Linked DNA regions of Saccharomyces cerevisiae S288C. The protein of the gene in region 1 interacts with the protein of each later gene in a pairwise test. Each region holds a gene or a part of one and is shown on either strand. Other genes may lie near its edges.

The links.
Region 2: the proteins of FAR3 (region 1) and FAR11 interact in binary tests that used the Saccharomyces cerevisiae proteins (3 or more experiments, as listed by UniProt).
Region 3: the proteins of FAR3 (region 1) and FAR7 interact in binary tests that used the Saccharomyces cerevisiae proteins (3 or more experiments, as listed by UniProt).
Region 4: the proteins of FAR3 (region 1) and FAR10 interact in a two-hybrid assay, tested with the Saccharomyces cerevisiae proteins (2 studies listed by BioGRID).

The regions. Positions count from the first base shown.
Region 1 is NC_001145.3:377,697-381,058, forward strand, and holds FAR3 (Far3p), read left to right. Parts: upstream 1-1,889; coding exon 1,890-2,504; downstream 2,505-3,362. Other genes in the region: YMR051C (gag protein), read right to left, coding at 1-629; STB2 (Stb2p), read right to left, coding at 2,650-3,362. UniProt on the Saccharomyces cerevisiae protein: Participates in the control of the reentry into the cell cycle following pheromone treatment.
Region 2 is NC_001146.8:381,967-387,453, forward strand, and holds FAR11 (Far11p), read left to right. Parts: upstream 1-2,020; coding exon 2,021-4,882; downstream 4,883-5,487. Other genes in the region: NRK1 (ribosylnicotinamide kinase), read left to right, coding at 1-236; TEP1 (putative phosphatidylinositol-3,4,5-trisphosphate 3-phosphatase), read left to right, coding at 393-1,697; SPC98 (Spc98p), read left to right, coding at 5,261-5,487. UniProt on the Saccharomyces cerevisiae protein: Participates in the control of the reentry into the cell cycle following pheromone treatment.
Region 3 is NC_001138.5:158,208-161,825, forward strand, and holds FAR7 (Far7p), read left to right. Parts: upstream 1-2,327; coding exon 2,328-2,993; downstream 2,994-3,618. Other genes in the region: YFH7 (Yfh7p), read left to right, coding at 1,092-2,153. UniProt on the Saccharomyces cerevisiae protein: Participates in the control of the reentry into the cell cycle following pheromone treatment.
Region 4 is NC_001144.5:612,941-617,045, reverse strand, and holds FAR10 (Far10p), read right to left. Parts: upstream 2,292-4,105; coding exon 855-2,291; downstream 1-854. Other genes in the region: lipoyl(octanoyl) transferase LIP2, read left to right, coding at 1-714; thiamine transporter THI7, read right to left, coding at 2,883-4,105.

The DNA.
Region 1 (3,362 bases):
CGTACGGGTTTTCCGTTTACTGTCGGAATAATACCACCGAGATTCGAGTTTTGTAAAAATTTGATGTATGTTTTAACCCAATTTGGAAAATCATTAGGTGAGGTTAACATTGGTGGTGGTCTGACATATTTTTTAGTGGATGTCATATCAGAGTCCGCTGAGGATGAATCAGTAAATGTATTACCTGACTCAGGTGATGGAGTGCTCAGAGGCGTTCCAACTGATGATGGATACTGCGGAAACTGTGATTGTGGCCCAGGTGGAAAGTACATAGGCGACATTTGATAAGGTGTATACGGAATCATAGATGGGTGTCCGTAAAATGACCAACCAGATGGATTGGCTTGGTTTTGGGTCATCATGCACTGCTGTGGGTACGGCCCATTCTGTGGAGGTGGTACTGAAGCAGGTTGAGGAGAGGCATGATGGGGGTTCTCTGGAACAGCTGATGAAGCAGGTGTTGTTGTCTGTTGAGAGTTAGCCTTAGTGGAAGCCTTATCATATTCTTGAATTTTGGAAGCTGAAACGTCTAACGGATCTTGATTTGTGTGGACTTCCTTAGAAGTAACCGAAGCACAGGCGCTACCATGAGATATATGTGGGTAATTAGATAATTGTTGGGATTCCATTGTTGATAAAGGCTATAATATTAGGTATACAGAATATACTAGAAGTTCTCCTCGAGGATATAGGAATCCTCAAAATGGAATCTATATTTCTACATACTAATATTACGATTATTCCTCATTCCGTTTTATATGTTTATATTCATTGATCCTATTACATTATCAATCCTTGCGTTTCAGCTTCCTCTAACATCGATGACAGCTTCTCATAACTTATGTCATCATCTTAACACCGTATATGATAATATATTGATAATATAACTATTAGTTGATAGACGATAGTGGATTTTTATTCCAACAGAAGGTGATCTAAAGATTGAGAAACAGTCACCAGATTTAGGGGAAGCTGAAATGCAATGATTGATAATGTAATAAGAAGCGAGAGGGAAAGTATAAAAAGGAAGTGATCAATTTGTGAATAATTTGATAACCGTTGGGATTCTATTGTTCGCAAGGGCTTTATTTTATTATGTGTACAGAATATAATAAAATTTCCCCTGAGAGATATACCAATCCTCAAATTGGAATCGATACTCCTATATAATACAATTACAATTATTTCTCCCTCCCTTTCGTATGTTTCATTATCCTAGTACATTATCAATCCTTATATTTCTGCTTCCATTAAATTTTACGACTGTTTCTCAATGTTTAGATCATCTTCTTACACTGTATATGATAATGTACGAGTGGCATGAATACTACTGAACAGATGATATTTTATAGCTTCATTCCAACAGAAAGAACATAAAGTAATATCGTTACGTAAAACTATCGATTCCCTTTTGACGATTCCTACATCCTCGAGAAGAAGTTCTAGTATATTCTGTGTACCTAATATTGTAGGCTCTAACAACAATGGAATCCCAACAATTAATCATCTTGATTATTTTATTCCCCGCGTTTTAGAGCATCAATCTTGCCAGCTTATAGCTGGTCATTGTCGACGATAATCTCAAGCACAGGGCTAAAAAATAAATTGAAACGGACAGGAATTGAACCTGCAACCCTTCGATTGCAATCTTATTCCGTGGAATTTCCAAGATTTAATTGGAGTCGAAAGCTCTACCATTGAGCCACCGCTTCAACTTTTATTGTTTATATTGACACCTGTATAACAATATAACCACAATAAAAGGTTCATTCAAAGCTCCGGCTAGCATTCGGCGATTAATGAAGAAAGTTAAACCGTGATTTATTACTTCTTGCTCGTTTTTTCCATCATAAGTTCGCACAGAGCAGTATATATAGTGATTTGCAAATATGAATAGCGGTGGTAGTGATAGTTTCGATTATCTTCTTCAATTAACAAAAGCTTTAAGTGCAGAGTGTCGGGCTAACAGACAAGAGACCGATCGAATAGAACTATTGTTAAAGCGCCTTGCCAAACAGTCAGGAATATCTTATGATAATTTGAGCAAAAACATAATTCCAGATTCATGGAAAGATAATGCATCTCAAAAAGCATCTCCCCCCACTGAGGCACAGAAGCTTATCAGCGAAAATTTTAAACTCATATACGAGATTGAAAAACAAGAGTACTTCAATACAAAGGCTGTTGCGCTAATTAACAACATAAATGAGCATTTCTCATATATTAAAAATTTTATCGACGAACAGAATGCAATAAGAGAACGAAATATTGCCACATTTTCATCAGAGAAGCTTGATGAAAGGAACAAAAGTCTTCAACAAAATTACGAGTCATTGAAGACAGAAAATGAAGAAACAAAAAAAAAATTGCATTCAATTATCAAACAGTTTGAAAAACTTTTGAAGGAAGTGGATTGGGATCGTATATCTAAAGATTCCAGAGATTACAGCCGCTTTAAAAAACAGTTGGAATACCTGCAAGACACGTACCAGGTACTGAAATAGCCTACGATGGATCGAACAAAAGTGTAAGCAGACGTGAAATAGCAAACCTTTGAATGCATTTATATATTTTAATATACTTATAACAACGGATAAATGTTTAGATCCCTTTTGAAAAAAAAAAAAAATTAGGATGAACCGAAAAAAATCATACTCGTATTCCTCTATCGTCTTCACTGGCATTATTGTGTAAAGAATTATTACCAAATAACCACCTGAACCACCCCACAGTATCATTCTTTAAATCTTTAAAATAACGGCGGCTCAGCATCTTTAAACAAAGAGCTTCATAGGTGGGGTTGTTAGTGGTCATCAAATCATTTACGCATCTATCATATTCGTCTTTATCACTCTTGGGATCTATTGCAGAGCATATTCCAGTTTTACCCTGTCCCTGAAGAGAGCTTTTCAACCCAATTAATTTGGAATCAAACTGAGCAACACTACTTTCAATATCTCGTACACGAACTTCCAATATCCTCATATCATATTTCAACCTAGATGATAAGGAATTTAACTCTTGCATCTCATGGAGAAGAAGTTGTTGCTTATTGTCAATGTCTTCAAATCTCCCTTCAAACACTTTTGCACCATCTGAATACTTCTTATATAGTTCTTGCAGTCTTTTATATCTTTCGTTGAATTTAGAGTACTGACCAACAGTTCCCTCCTTATTTAATTTACCCATATAATGCTCATCCATTTCTTGTATGTGTTGCTGCGCTTGGATGTCGTATTTCATTCGTAACAAATCTCTAGCTATTCGAACAACAGATGGATCAAATGGTAAATCCCATTTTTCCACAATATTCTGTACAGCAGAAGAAGAGTTGCATCTATACAAACGAGATGACTTTTCCT
Region 2 (5,487 bases), on another chromosome or scaffold:
AAGGATACCAGACTTTGGATTCTTTCTGGGTGGATCCGCCGTATTATTTCGACGAATTTGTGTATGAATCTTATCGTGCAAATCATGCGCAGTTATTTGTTAATGGAGACGTAGAAGGTTTACTAGACCCAAGGAAGTCAAAGAATATAAAAGAGTTCATAAATGATGATGACACTCCAATTGCGAAACCTTTAAGCTGGGTGTGCCAAGAGATTCTAAAGCTTTGTAAGGATTAGGAAAGCGCCACAAAATCGATGAGAAGTATAAAAAAAAAAAAGTAAAAACAATAAAAATAAGAATGTGTACCTCGATAGATAACTTAAATAAGACAATTTCAGAACCACAATATTGATAACACCATCCCGATTTTTGAAATTATTTTTTTGGTGTAAATGAGAGAGGAGGGGAGTGAATTAGAAATGGAAAAAGGCTTCCTTAAATGGAAACCAGTCAACTTGATGAAGAAAATATTGTCTTTACCAATGAAAAAAACTAAAAACGATATAGGTTTGAGATTAGATATATCATATATTTTAGTTAATCTAATAGTCTGCTCATACCCGGTAAACACGTATCCAAAACTGCTTTATAGGAATAGCTTGGATGACTTAATATTGTTTCTAACAGTGTACCATGGCAAGGGAAATTTTAGAATTTTTAATTTTAGAGGTGAGAAAGAAGACAGCGATTATAAAGATAATGATCTTATTGGTATCGCTGCCAAGTTTGAGAGCAAAGATTTTGAAATTCAAGAATTACGTTCGACGCTGATTAATGATGGAAAGATACCAATATCACCCATTGATCTCGAAACAAGGACCTTGGTCGAAGAAGAAACCAATAATGTAATTTGTGAAAGGATCGGTTGGCTAGATCATTTTCCACCGCCATTTGAACTGCTGGAAGAGATTGTAGATGGTATAGAAAATTACCTGTCCGTTTCGAAGAATAGAGTGGCTGTTTTACATTGTCGAATGGGGAAAGGCCGATCTGGTATGATAACAGTAGCATACCTCATGAAATACTTGCAGTGTCCTCTTGGAGAAGCAAGATTGATATTCATGCAGGCTAGATTCAAGTATGGTATGACGAATGGCGTCACCATACCCTCTCAATTAAGATACTTAAGGTACCATGAGTTTTTTATTACCCATGAAAAAGCAGCCCAAGAAGGAATTTCTAATGAGGCGGTAAAATTCAAATTTAAATTCAGGCTTGCTAAAATGACGTTCCTCCGCCCATCAAGCTTAATCACTTCCGAGTCTGCTATTGTAACTACTAAGATTCAACACTACAACGATGATAGAAATGCCCTCCTAACCCGAAAAGTAGTATATTCAGATATCATGGCGCATGAATGCGGTGGTAATATGACCTTCATTTTTGGTAGGGACTACTTAACACTGGAAAATGATTGTCGTATAGAATTTACCCTGGGGACCAGCAAGTCCAAAGCCGCCAGTAGCATAATATCTTGGACTTCATGCGCCAGCTGTTGGCTGAATATATACCTTGAGACTTTGATGCACATAATTAAAGACGATTCTTCGCCAGATTACTTTCAAGTAGAGAGGTTAAAGAGAGACGAAATGCTTGGGACAACCATAAGCTGGCAAGAGCTGGACGGTTTTGGGGAGCTCAGCACTCACGGCTTGAAATTATTTCAGGCACTGAAATTGGAATGGGAAATTATATAGGTTTATGCATTTCGTCAAATCCATTCATTCGTTAAACTTAGTTAAAAGTGTTATATTTATTGTGAATTGGTTTGTTTTGGTAGGCTTTTTTCTATATTATGTATTCTTTTCCTTTTCTTCAATATTCTTGTATGGTACTTTAATTTACTGGCAGGTATTTTTTGGAGCGGTCAATTATATGAATCAAAACGCCATTCTAGAAACAGGAAGAAATATATGAGAACCAAGGAGTAGGTTGAAAGGCATTGTAGAGAAATTTTATTAGTATTTATAGCCGAAGAAGAAGGTTAAGTGACAAATTTTCATTTATAAGCCTCGCTAAAATGAATGCTAGTGGAAGATCTCATTCCAAAGGCCCCATTATAAGGTCTGTGTCTTTAGAAGATCTTAAGAGAAACTCTAGTTTCAAAGGCAATCTAAAGTACAAAGATGAAGTCACTTCACATAAAGAACCACAGGTCGGAACATTGAGCAACGAAGAACTGCTAAAAGATTTGGACAACATGTTGCGCGGTAAACTGAACATGGGAAGAAACAGTTTTCATGCCGATAAAAGAAATAAATCAGATGGAAATATCAGTGCCTTAACCTTCAAGGCAAGATCAGGTCTTGAGGGAGATATTCGTACCATAGATATACAGCAAGATAGTAGTGATGAAAATGATAATTTTAAGTTCAGTGATGATGGCGTTAATAAGGATAGAAATAATGAGAAAGATAATAATACTGATAACGCCGTTGAATTTCAAGACGATGCTGAAGAAGCTGAAGAGGAGAATGAGGATGAATCATTTGCTAATGTAGATGAACTGGATGGCTTTGATTTGAATAAGGTTTCTGATGGCAAGCATGTTCCTATCAATGAAAAGGGCGAAGTTGATTATAATATGCCGGTAGATAAAGAATTTCAGAAATCACTTGACCAGTGCGCAGCTTCACTTGAGGAAAGATCAAGTGCACCTTATGCTTTACAAAGAGCAGTGGACTGGGAATTGAAGATGTTTTATTCTTTGGAAGATGAACTGTCGGAATGGTTTTGCAGCTCTGATTATATGCATTTTGGACAGACACAGACTCTGTTTAAACAGAAAATTACGCAACCACAATTATTCTTTGATGATGAAAACTATGCTGCGAGCGTAGTTGAATGTTTAATTGAAGACATCCCCAATTCTTTAGCATCTAATTTACTCGCATTATCATATATTTCTATGGGATGCTTTGCGTTTACGAATAGCAAAAGTGAGCATACAAAGATTATACGACGCAACAATTTAATGCTTGTTCCTCATATTCAAGAAATTGTTCATGCCTTCAAGAAGATTGCAATAAGTTGTAGGGATGACAACAGAAATTTAAAGAAACAAACAATTTTGCTATTTCATTCGTCAACAATCCTATACTTCATATGCAGTATTTGTATAGAAGGTAGAGGAGAAAATCCGGAAGCAGTAAATGTTGTTATCGACGCTTTTGAGAAAACAGATTTGTTGGAATTTTTAACAAAGTATATTGAAAATTGGAGGTGGAATAGCAGATTAGCTATGCGCATAAGAAATATGATTTCTTTGCTCTTCAAGCTTATTGTATTACAATTTGGTGACAGTTCTGTCTACAAACAGACCAAATCATCTATTTATAATCTCCATGGCTTAACATATCCATCAAAGCATCCAGAAAAGCTTTCTATCTCCCCATTACATTATCAAGCATTCAGGGAGGACATTACTTCCCGTTTTCCTGATTACAATATGCCCAGTTCTGGCTTACCTAAAGATGTTGACAAATCAGAATCTCTTTCCCAGTTTCTGGAAATTCCTCGTCCAAAATCAAAGAATCCTCTAAATATGGCGCTCATTGTTCCTGAAAAACATATTGCTACACCTGCTCCTTCACCGCCAAGCTCTCCACAATTAATGCATTTAGGTGAAGGTCCTAGACCTCGTAAATCTTTCCAAACAAACATGGCATATCCGTGTTTGTATCCATCTGATAATGAAGGATCTGAAGATGACACTCTGGAAGATAGGATAGATTTAAATATAGAGAGAAAACCTGATAACGATATAGTTATTCCATTCAGTACCGAAGAGGCAGCGAGAATATTAAGCGAGAGTTTAGAAATTAAGCTGAGTACAAAACAACTTTGGTACGAAAGGGACTTATTCATGATAACTGAACGTGGTTGGAAACAGCAATTAGAAAATGAGCCATATGATTATGCCGCGCTTAATCATGATGCAAACTCTTCAAAAGAGGAAAAAAGTGCGATTTGCATTATGCAGCGAATTGACAAATATTATAAGAGCTGCCTTTCGAGCTTTAACTCTCTTGTTTTTGTCTTACTGCAAACAATGGAATCAAGCTTGACAAATAACTTTCATAGGAAAAGTGAAGTCTCCGATAAAAATCTTCTAAATATGCTGACACCCCAATTGGAGATCGTGAGAGCTAAGGAATTGTCCCTAAAGTCAGCAGCGGGCATATTACATGCGTTATTGAAGTGGTTTAAGTTAAGCCATATTTTGAAATTTGAACACTTGGCGGTAGTTATTCACGATTCGCGATACATCAACACATGCGCATCTATTTTAAGCAAATATTCTGAGGTTTATCCAGAGAGGGTTTTCAATAAATATGTACAAACCCCGAATTCATTTTGGAAGGAGTGTTCTCTCTCTAACGAGTCTTATCGTGAATCCTATTCAGTAGATGACTCAGGAGAGGTCGACACGGAGATTATGCCTTCGTTTGCATATCTGTTAAGAATCTTGAGAAAAGTCACAGGGAATAAAACACAAAGGTTAAAGGAGCTGCCCCTCTCCATCGGCATTCTATTTAAACGCTATTATCGGCTCTTCAACCTTGACATGTATCATCCAATATTGAAAATAACAAGAGAACTCACACCATTCAAAAACAAGAGGTGGAAATCCGAGCATATGGAATTGATATCGGGGGTTTACCTTTATGAAAAGCTGGAGTTAACTGATAATTGGGTAACAGGGAAGGATATATCAGGAGAGTTGAGCGATGCTTGTGGTCAAGAAATTGCACTCCGGGCCTTGCTTCAATTTTACAATTTTCAACACTATGAAATATCTATGGAGGACCTTGGATATGGACACCGTAATAGTTCCAGCCAAGATCTGTTAAACAAGGAATCCGAGTATTTGAATATTTAAATCTCTACTTACGGATACCGAGGCTCGGGGCGCGATGTTATTGTCATTAACAATCTCCTATCCCTCCCTATGTTTATATAGTTTTCAATGGAGGAGCATGAAAACCCCTTAAATAGTGTTTATTTGATCGCGCAATGGTGATGATTGGATCTTCATATCACAAGTGGGATACTAGGACAACCGTTGTTGGATTTCTATTATCATAATATATACGGGTAACGATTTTTGATGCGTCGCGTTTGTAAACAAAACTAAACAAAACAAACAAATATACTCATTTGATGGCTTCATCTGCATATAAGAAATAGAAGAGCCAGAATACTAAGCATAACCATAATATATATTACAGTCTATTTCAGTTGTAGCTGAAAAATCAATATGGAACTAGAGCCCACTCTTTTTGGTATAATAGAGGCATTGGCTCCTCAATTATTGTCGCAGAGTCATTTGCAGACATTTGTATCTGATGTAGTCAATTTACTGCGATCATCCACCAAATCGGCAACTCAATTAGGCCCTTTAATTGATTTTTACAAATTACAATCACTAGATTCGCCTGAAACAACAATTATGTGGCATAAAATTGAGAAATTTCTCGATGCTTT
Region 3 (3,618 bases), on another chromosome or scaffold:
TTGAAGATAGCATTCCTATGAGTCGCCCTCGAGGACTTGGATCGAAAAATCTACATAATATTAGTAATTACTATTATTGTTGGAATTGGATAAACCGTCGTCCACCTATTTGAGAAATAGGTAATTATTATATGAGTTATTTGGTTCCTTTTTGTTAAAGTAATAATTTGAAATGCCATCCATTTGGTAATATTCATGTTATTGGCATATTATCATATGCGGTTCAGGAAGATGACATAAAAGTTGAGAAACAGTTATCAACCCTAATGGAAGCTGAAATGCAAGATTGATAATGTAATAGCATAATGAAACATATAAAACGGAATGGGGAATAATCGTAATATTATTATGTAGAACTACCGATTCCATTTTGAGGATTCCTACATCCTCGAGGAGACTTCTAGCATATTCTGTGTACATAATATTATGGTCTTGATCAACAATGCAATCCCAACAGTTATCAAATTATTCAGAAAATTGATCACATTTTCGATAAATCTATTATGAAAGTAAAATTTTGACTCATACCTAAGTTCTCGTTATTCGTTAATCTTATGAACTCATTAACCTTGGCGTTTCAGCATCCGCTATGATTACTAGTGCTTAAACCTTGTTATTCATGCCTCATAATTGATGCCATCTTCTAACCTCGAGCGTGATAAAATTTTTGTAATATGAACACCAATCGGCGGAAGATCATCCCAAAGCCACATATGATGGTGCCTTATAACATTAATAACAACTTCAACTGCTGCATACCGATAATATCTTGACGATTATGCATTCGTGTCCTGATAGCTAATGCCATGAAACAATTCTTTTCAATCGCACTTGCACCTTCGTGAAATAGAAGGGTTATCTGGGCTTATCAGACTTGTCCACAGTTTACATATAATTTTTTTTCTGTATTAAATTTTGTGAGCTTTCTTTTTACTCAAACGAACTGTGTTATTTTTCGTTCATTAAATGCGTACCTTTAAGCATCATCAAGTATTGCTCTTCGGGAAAAATGAAGTAACCTTGTTAGGTTAATTTCACTAGTACTATACATATTTTATCCTGTATCATACCAGAGGATCATTCTAGCCACAATGGTCGATACGCATAAACTAGCAGACGACGTTCTTCAGCTATTGGATAACCGTATCGAAGATAATTATAGGGTTTGTGTTATCCTAGTCGGTTCTCCAGGCTCCGGTAAGTCTACTATTGCGGAAGAACTTTGTCAAATTATAAATGAAAAATATCACACATTTTTGTCAGAGCATCCAAATGTTATTGAGGTTAATGATAGGTTGAAACCTATGGTTAACCTAGTAGACTCTTTAAAGACGCTCCAGCCCAATAAAGTAGCTGAAATGATTGAAAATCAGGGGCTGTTTAAAGATCATGTTGAGGATGTTAATTTTCAACCAGTCAAGTACTCAGCCCTTACATCAAATAATGAAGAATGTACCGCAGTAGTTGCCAGAGGTGGTACTGCGAATGCCATAAGAATCGCAGCAGTTGATAATCCAGTCAATGTTAACAAGTTGGCCCAGGATAGTATCAATATAGCGCAAATAGTCCCAATGGATGGTTTTCACTTATCTCGCAGATGTCTAGACCTATTCAAAGACCCACAAACTGCCCATAAAAGAAGAGGTTCGCCCTCAACGTTTGACAGTAACAATTTCTTACAATTGTGTAAAATTCTAGCCAAGACGTCCCTATGTAAGGTCTCCTCACATCATAAATTTTACTCCACTTCAAGCGTTTTTGAGAAGTTATCCAAAACTTTTAGCCAAACAATTCCTGATATCTTTGTTCCAGGATTTAACCATGCACTAAAAGACCCAACTCCAGATCAGTACTGTATTTCCAAATTTACAAGGATAGTTATACTTGAAGGGTTATACCTACTGTATGACCAAGAAAACTGGAAGAAAATTTACAAAACATTAGCTGATACGGGAGCACTTCTTGTTTATAAGATTGACATAGACTATGAGGCCACCGAAGAAAGGGTGGCCAAAAGGCATTTGCAATCAGGGTTAGTCACGACTATTGCAGAAGGACGAGAGAAGTTTCGCAGCAATGATTTGTTGAATGGCAGGGATATAGATAATCATTTAATTAAGGTAGATAATATCGTCCATATCCGCAACGACTAGAAGGTTAGGCGGAACCTTGTATATATTTTTGTAAAATCGAACTGAATACAGATAATTAAGGCGCGCAAGCAAAAACGGCATTCTTTATGAACTCTGCAGAGGTGCCCTTTATTACGACATATATGGGAAGTAATACATATTGATTCTACAAGAAGTTCAAGCCAAGGTTTAGATATGAGTGACCAAATCAACGTTTTGTCAATGCAACAACAACAACAGCAGCAGCAGCAGCAGCAGCAAGTATATATGTCTCCTCAAGCAGAAAACTTGAATCATATGTACTTGTTAGTTAACAAGCTAGTGAAACAGTTGAGGGAAAATCAAGCAGAAAAGGCGAAAATACTAAGGAACATAGACATATTATCCGGAAGCTTAAACAAGTATGAGACATCTGAAGAACCTCACGATACCACGGAAAATATTGCATTATTTAATAGATTTCTAGAACAAAGAGGGAAAGCTCCTATTACTGAGAAAGAGCAACTAAGCAACAATCTGGATGAAAATGCGAAAGATGACGTTATGCTAGGAGTGTTGAAGCGCCAAAATTCAATGCTCCGGAAAAGTTTACAGGAATCCAAGCAGGTAACCCTTGAATCCATGGATTTATTGTCTTACTCCGAAGACTCTTTAAATTACATTGTCGCCCAATTAAGAGGAAACATTCTAATGCATCATAAAGAGACTATCAAATTGATTAGGCAGAAATTCCAGACGGAGACAATTCCCCTCGAAGATGAAGAGTTCAAGATGTATTTGGAAAATGTTAATGGTCTGCAAAAATTGACAGATATATCTCACACTTATAGATTACTACTGAGGTTACATGCACAAGATTGAAACTTTGCCCTTTTGCTTCCAATGAAAGCAAGATGACAAATATACATGCTTCTTATATTCGAGATTGCGCAAAAATTCGAAGCTCATTTATGAAGGCTTTTTCCATTCTGATATATGTTTATGAAATTGAAAAAGTAACGACGGTGGAACATTTTGCGGGAAAACAACTCACAGAATGTCTTGACGTTCTTTTCCTGCAGTTGCGTGCGTAAGATATCCTAAGCTACTGTATTATTTGCCAAAAATAATAAAATGTTGGAGGAAAGCCTCTATAAATACACAGGATATATATGTTTAATAAACATATATAATTTCCTCAATATTTGCAAAAGCATTTTGTTGTGATGAGAGTCGATTATCGTTTACCGATTAGTATCTATACTATTAATATATTTTCATATAATTAGTATAATCTCATATACGCTGCCAGAAGATAACATGAAAATTAAGAAACAATCATCAGCTTCAATGGAAGTTGAAGTGCAAGGATAAATAATACTATTTAGAAATATGGATTTTCCCTCGTTGACTAGAAGATCTGTGAAGATTGGGTGAATAGTTTAATAATTATTGGATCCCATTATTGATCAAGGCTATAATACTTGACTATTTGGCGAATTTTGAG
Region 4 (4,105 bases), on another chromosome or scaffold:
GCAACAATAAATGATAACGAAAAAAGAATATTAGACAAGGTTATGGCAATGAAACCTAATCCGATAATATTAACGTTTGAGTTTGAGCCAACTTATACAGGTGGGAAGAGGATTAAGAAAACTATGACGCCAGATCAGATAGCGGCTTATGAAAGTTTCATTCCAGAAACGCAAAAGGACAACCCACGACCAAAGTTTGTTCAAGTGGAAAGGGGTGGACAAGTAACATTTCATGGTCCAGGCCAAATTGTTATTTACATTATTTTAGATTTGAAAACATTTCAAAGTTTCCCTGCTAAATGCTTGGTTTCATGCATTGAGCAGGCCACTATCAGAACGTTGAAGAATACCAAGATGTGCGACGACACTGACAAGCCTTTGAACTTAGATGCTATGACTACAAAGGACACTGGAGTTTGGGTTGAAAATGGCAAGAAGAAAGTTGCTAGTGTTGGAATACACGTCAGACGTTCCATAACATCGCACGGGGTAGCAATTAATGTTAATACAGATCTATCGTATATGAATAGTTTTGAAATGTGCGGTTTGAAAAATACACTGACTACTTCAATTATGGAACAACGACCCGATGCTGTTGTAAATGTGCAAAGTGTAGCAATTAGTTTTGTCAAAGAAATGACAAAGCTGCTAGGAATAAAAACTTTGGAAAGAATGCAAATTGACGACGTCAATATTTTGAAAAAGAATCCGTGAGACGGATGACTCCCCCCATACTTTCTTAAATGAAAGGATGCTTACCTTTTTTTACATGTGAATATCTATTACATATATACGTACGTATATAATAATCTCTGACGTGAAAAGCGGATCGTGTGTGTCTTGTATTTACGATGCTAGTTGGGGGAAAGGATCTTGAAGACAATAGCTATAATCCCGATGGAAATAGTTCCAAATGTTAATAGTGTGAAATGATTACATAGCGTGTTCTTGATGCTAAATTTGTCAGTACCCTTAGGATTCATGCCCGGGACGCCTCTAGTGTCATGTTCGGTAGTCTTTTTTTTAGATGCAGTTGAGAGTTCTTGTTCTTTCTGTTTGTTCTTCTTCATCATTTGTGAATTCTTATATCGTTCCACTTCTAACCTAGTTTTCAAGTCTTCTATTTCCCTTTCCATGCTTTTTTGCTTTTCATTATTTCTTCTTTTCTTCACTTCAAATGACTTTTTGAAAAACATATGGTCCCTTTCCAACTGTTTTACTTGATTTCTGTTTTGTTCGATAATCTTTTCGTATTTCCCCGACAGTTTCCTTCTTAATCCATTTTGCAGCTTTACCAGTTGCTGATCATTTTTTTCCACTAAAAGTTTGTTCGTGTATTCTAGATGTGTCGTATAATTAATTAAGAAATTCTCCATCGACTGTAATTTAAAATTATCGCATTTGGAAAATGGAATTTCCATTGCCAGGGTTTTGATGATATTAGATAAAGTCGGGCTCGTACCAATACAATTATTAATAAAAATTCCACTCAGTATTTCTGTATCAGAGCCCAGGATAACTTCTTCCAATTCTAGGTTGTTGGAATCACCATATATGTGACTTGTTATGGCAGCAGCCTCCTCTTTTTCTGTAATTGTATGGCAATCATCACTATCTTCATTTTCAAAAATCGGTGATTCTAATAAAGGTTGTACAAATAGTTCTTCAACTGTGGCACTTATTTTTCGATGCTCAATTTTCGTATCTATATCTGTTCCCAAGTCTATCACATCGCCAACTTTGATTTCTACGTCATTTGAGCCAATTCTTTGACCGTTAATGAACGTACCATTACTGGATTTTAAGTCTCGTATATATACCTTACCCGTGAGCGGGTCGCAACTTAACAATGCATGATTCCTGGAGAGTACTCTTGAATCGAAATTACCATTATCGGACCTTACTTGGGAAAAAGTGTGTGAATCCACTCTTTTACCGCCCCTGAGCGATGAACTGGAGCTGCTATTACTATTAGCAACAGGCCTTCCCAATTTCAAACCATCTGGTTTAAATGGTATCACCACATGTTTGCTCTCAAAAGTTCCATTTAGTGATGTGAGGACTAGAATGTAAGTATATTTTCTCCTTGGTGTTCTTGATATGCTATGTGGAAAATAGCTTTTTGTTGGGTCGGCTATTCTCTTGTCATACTTTTCAATTGGCCTCTTCGATGAATTCGTAGATCCATCAATTAGATTTGCATTCTTGGGTATACTATTATATGTTATCTGTTTCTTGCCCGGAGAACTGGGGTGCTCCTCCTTATTTATTTCAGGTCCAGGACCAGTCATTGGATTCGATTATATCTATAGCTTCCAATATAACCAACGACAGGCTCCTTGTGAGGGTTACTTTGTCACTCTTGCCTTAATTTTGTGTTCACGTAGTGCTTGTGACTTTCAAGAACAAATTTTTAATTATGTTCCGTTATGGTAAACAAGTGAAATTTCAAAAGTTGAGCACCACGATTACGGAATAACAACAAATAACGAAGGTTGAAGAAATTAGATAATAGATGAGAAAAAAAGAACACCAGAGAGAGAACAGGTGCTTTCTAAAAGATTTCAATTCAGGGCGAATAATAGTAGTCCTTACCCCTTAATATATTGGAATATAATAGGACTAGTTAGACGCTGGCAATAAGATTGGTTTATTGTTCTTTTTTTTACGACTGTAACAAAGCTACGTTATTTTTTGTTTTTCTTTTTTTTTAATTTATTTGGTATTATATATCTAGTGTATATGTTATTATTAGGAAAGAGCTGTTATTTAATATTAAGTGTGAACGAAGGAAAATTTCGTAGGTAAAAAAATTAGTGCAGAGAGCCATTAAATGAAAGGGAAATTTTATTCTTAATTATTTTTTGCAATTTTATTTCCCACTAAGCAGCTTTTTCACTGGCGGTGGAGGATTGCTTTTCATTATTCTTATGATGAACTATTTCAAACTCATTGGTGTTTTCAGAGCTAGTTTTGACCAACTCAGGTATTTCATCGTCGGAGCCTTCAGGTCTGTACTCGTGGCCGGTAGTGTAACCTTCGCCTAATGTGTAAGCGCGGATTTCTTCTTCAGAAATTTCACTGTATGGAACCATGCCCTTCTTTCTTGCTTCTTCGTCAGTAAAGGCACCATAATAATCTTTGTCATCATGTTTGACAGTAATTTTGAATGGGAAGAGGAGGCATAGTCCCCAATAGACGAAAAAGGAGATCAAAAACGAGAAGAAGGAGTCACCGTAAAAGAAATTGACAATACCAGTGTTGTGGAAATAGTCATTATTGACTTCCCAAGCAATACCAGGTAGACCGGGGGTCATACCACAAACCCAGGCAACAATAGCTCTCCAGTTAACACCCTTAGTGAAATAGTATTCACCCTTGAGAATAAAGGCATTAGTGATGGAGTATTGTCTTTTTCTGATCAAGAAGTTATCGCAAATCATGACAGAAATGATAGGAGTCATGACAACACCGAAAGAACTCATGACAGTCAAGAAAGTAGAAGAAGAGTTGTAGAAGTTCCATGGCAAACAAGCCCAGGAGACACATGCGGCAAAAAGGGCACCCCTCTTGATGTCGACATACTTGGGTAATAAACCGGCCAAATCCATACCACTGGCAAACCCACAGTTGGAGATGGTGTAGGACATTTGAGATAGGACAAATGAAAGACCACAGAAGAACGCACCGGCACGAGCACCTGCAGAATAGTTAGTTGTCAACCAATGGTTGAAGATATCCATAGGCATCCAATATTGTTCACCGTATAGTTTGTCACAGGTGGAGGCACCAATAACACCAAAAACTGGGATTAAAGTGGTTGGAATTAACAATGCACAGATGGTACCGGCCCAGATAGCCCAATTGGAGGAACCAAATCTCGAGTAATCACTTTGGTTGGTGGAACCTGGAGAAACGGAACCGAACCAGTACGAGATCATATAAACCCAAGCCCAAGCTTTGGTGGAGCCAGTGGCAGTGGATTTAGTGGAGGTAAACAATTCTCCAACACCGTGAGCCTGTTTAGCTAAATAGATCACCATACCCAACATAGAGAAAAATGTAGCAACACACGACCAAATTAAAATGTAGTTCATGTGGTAGG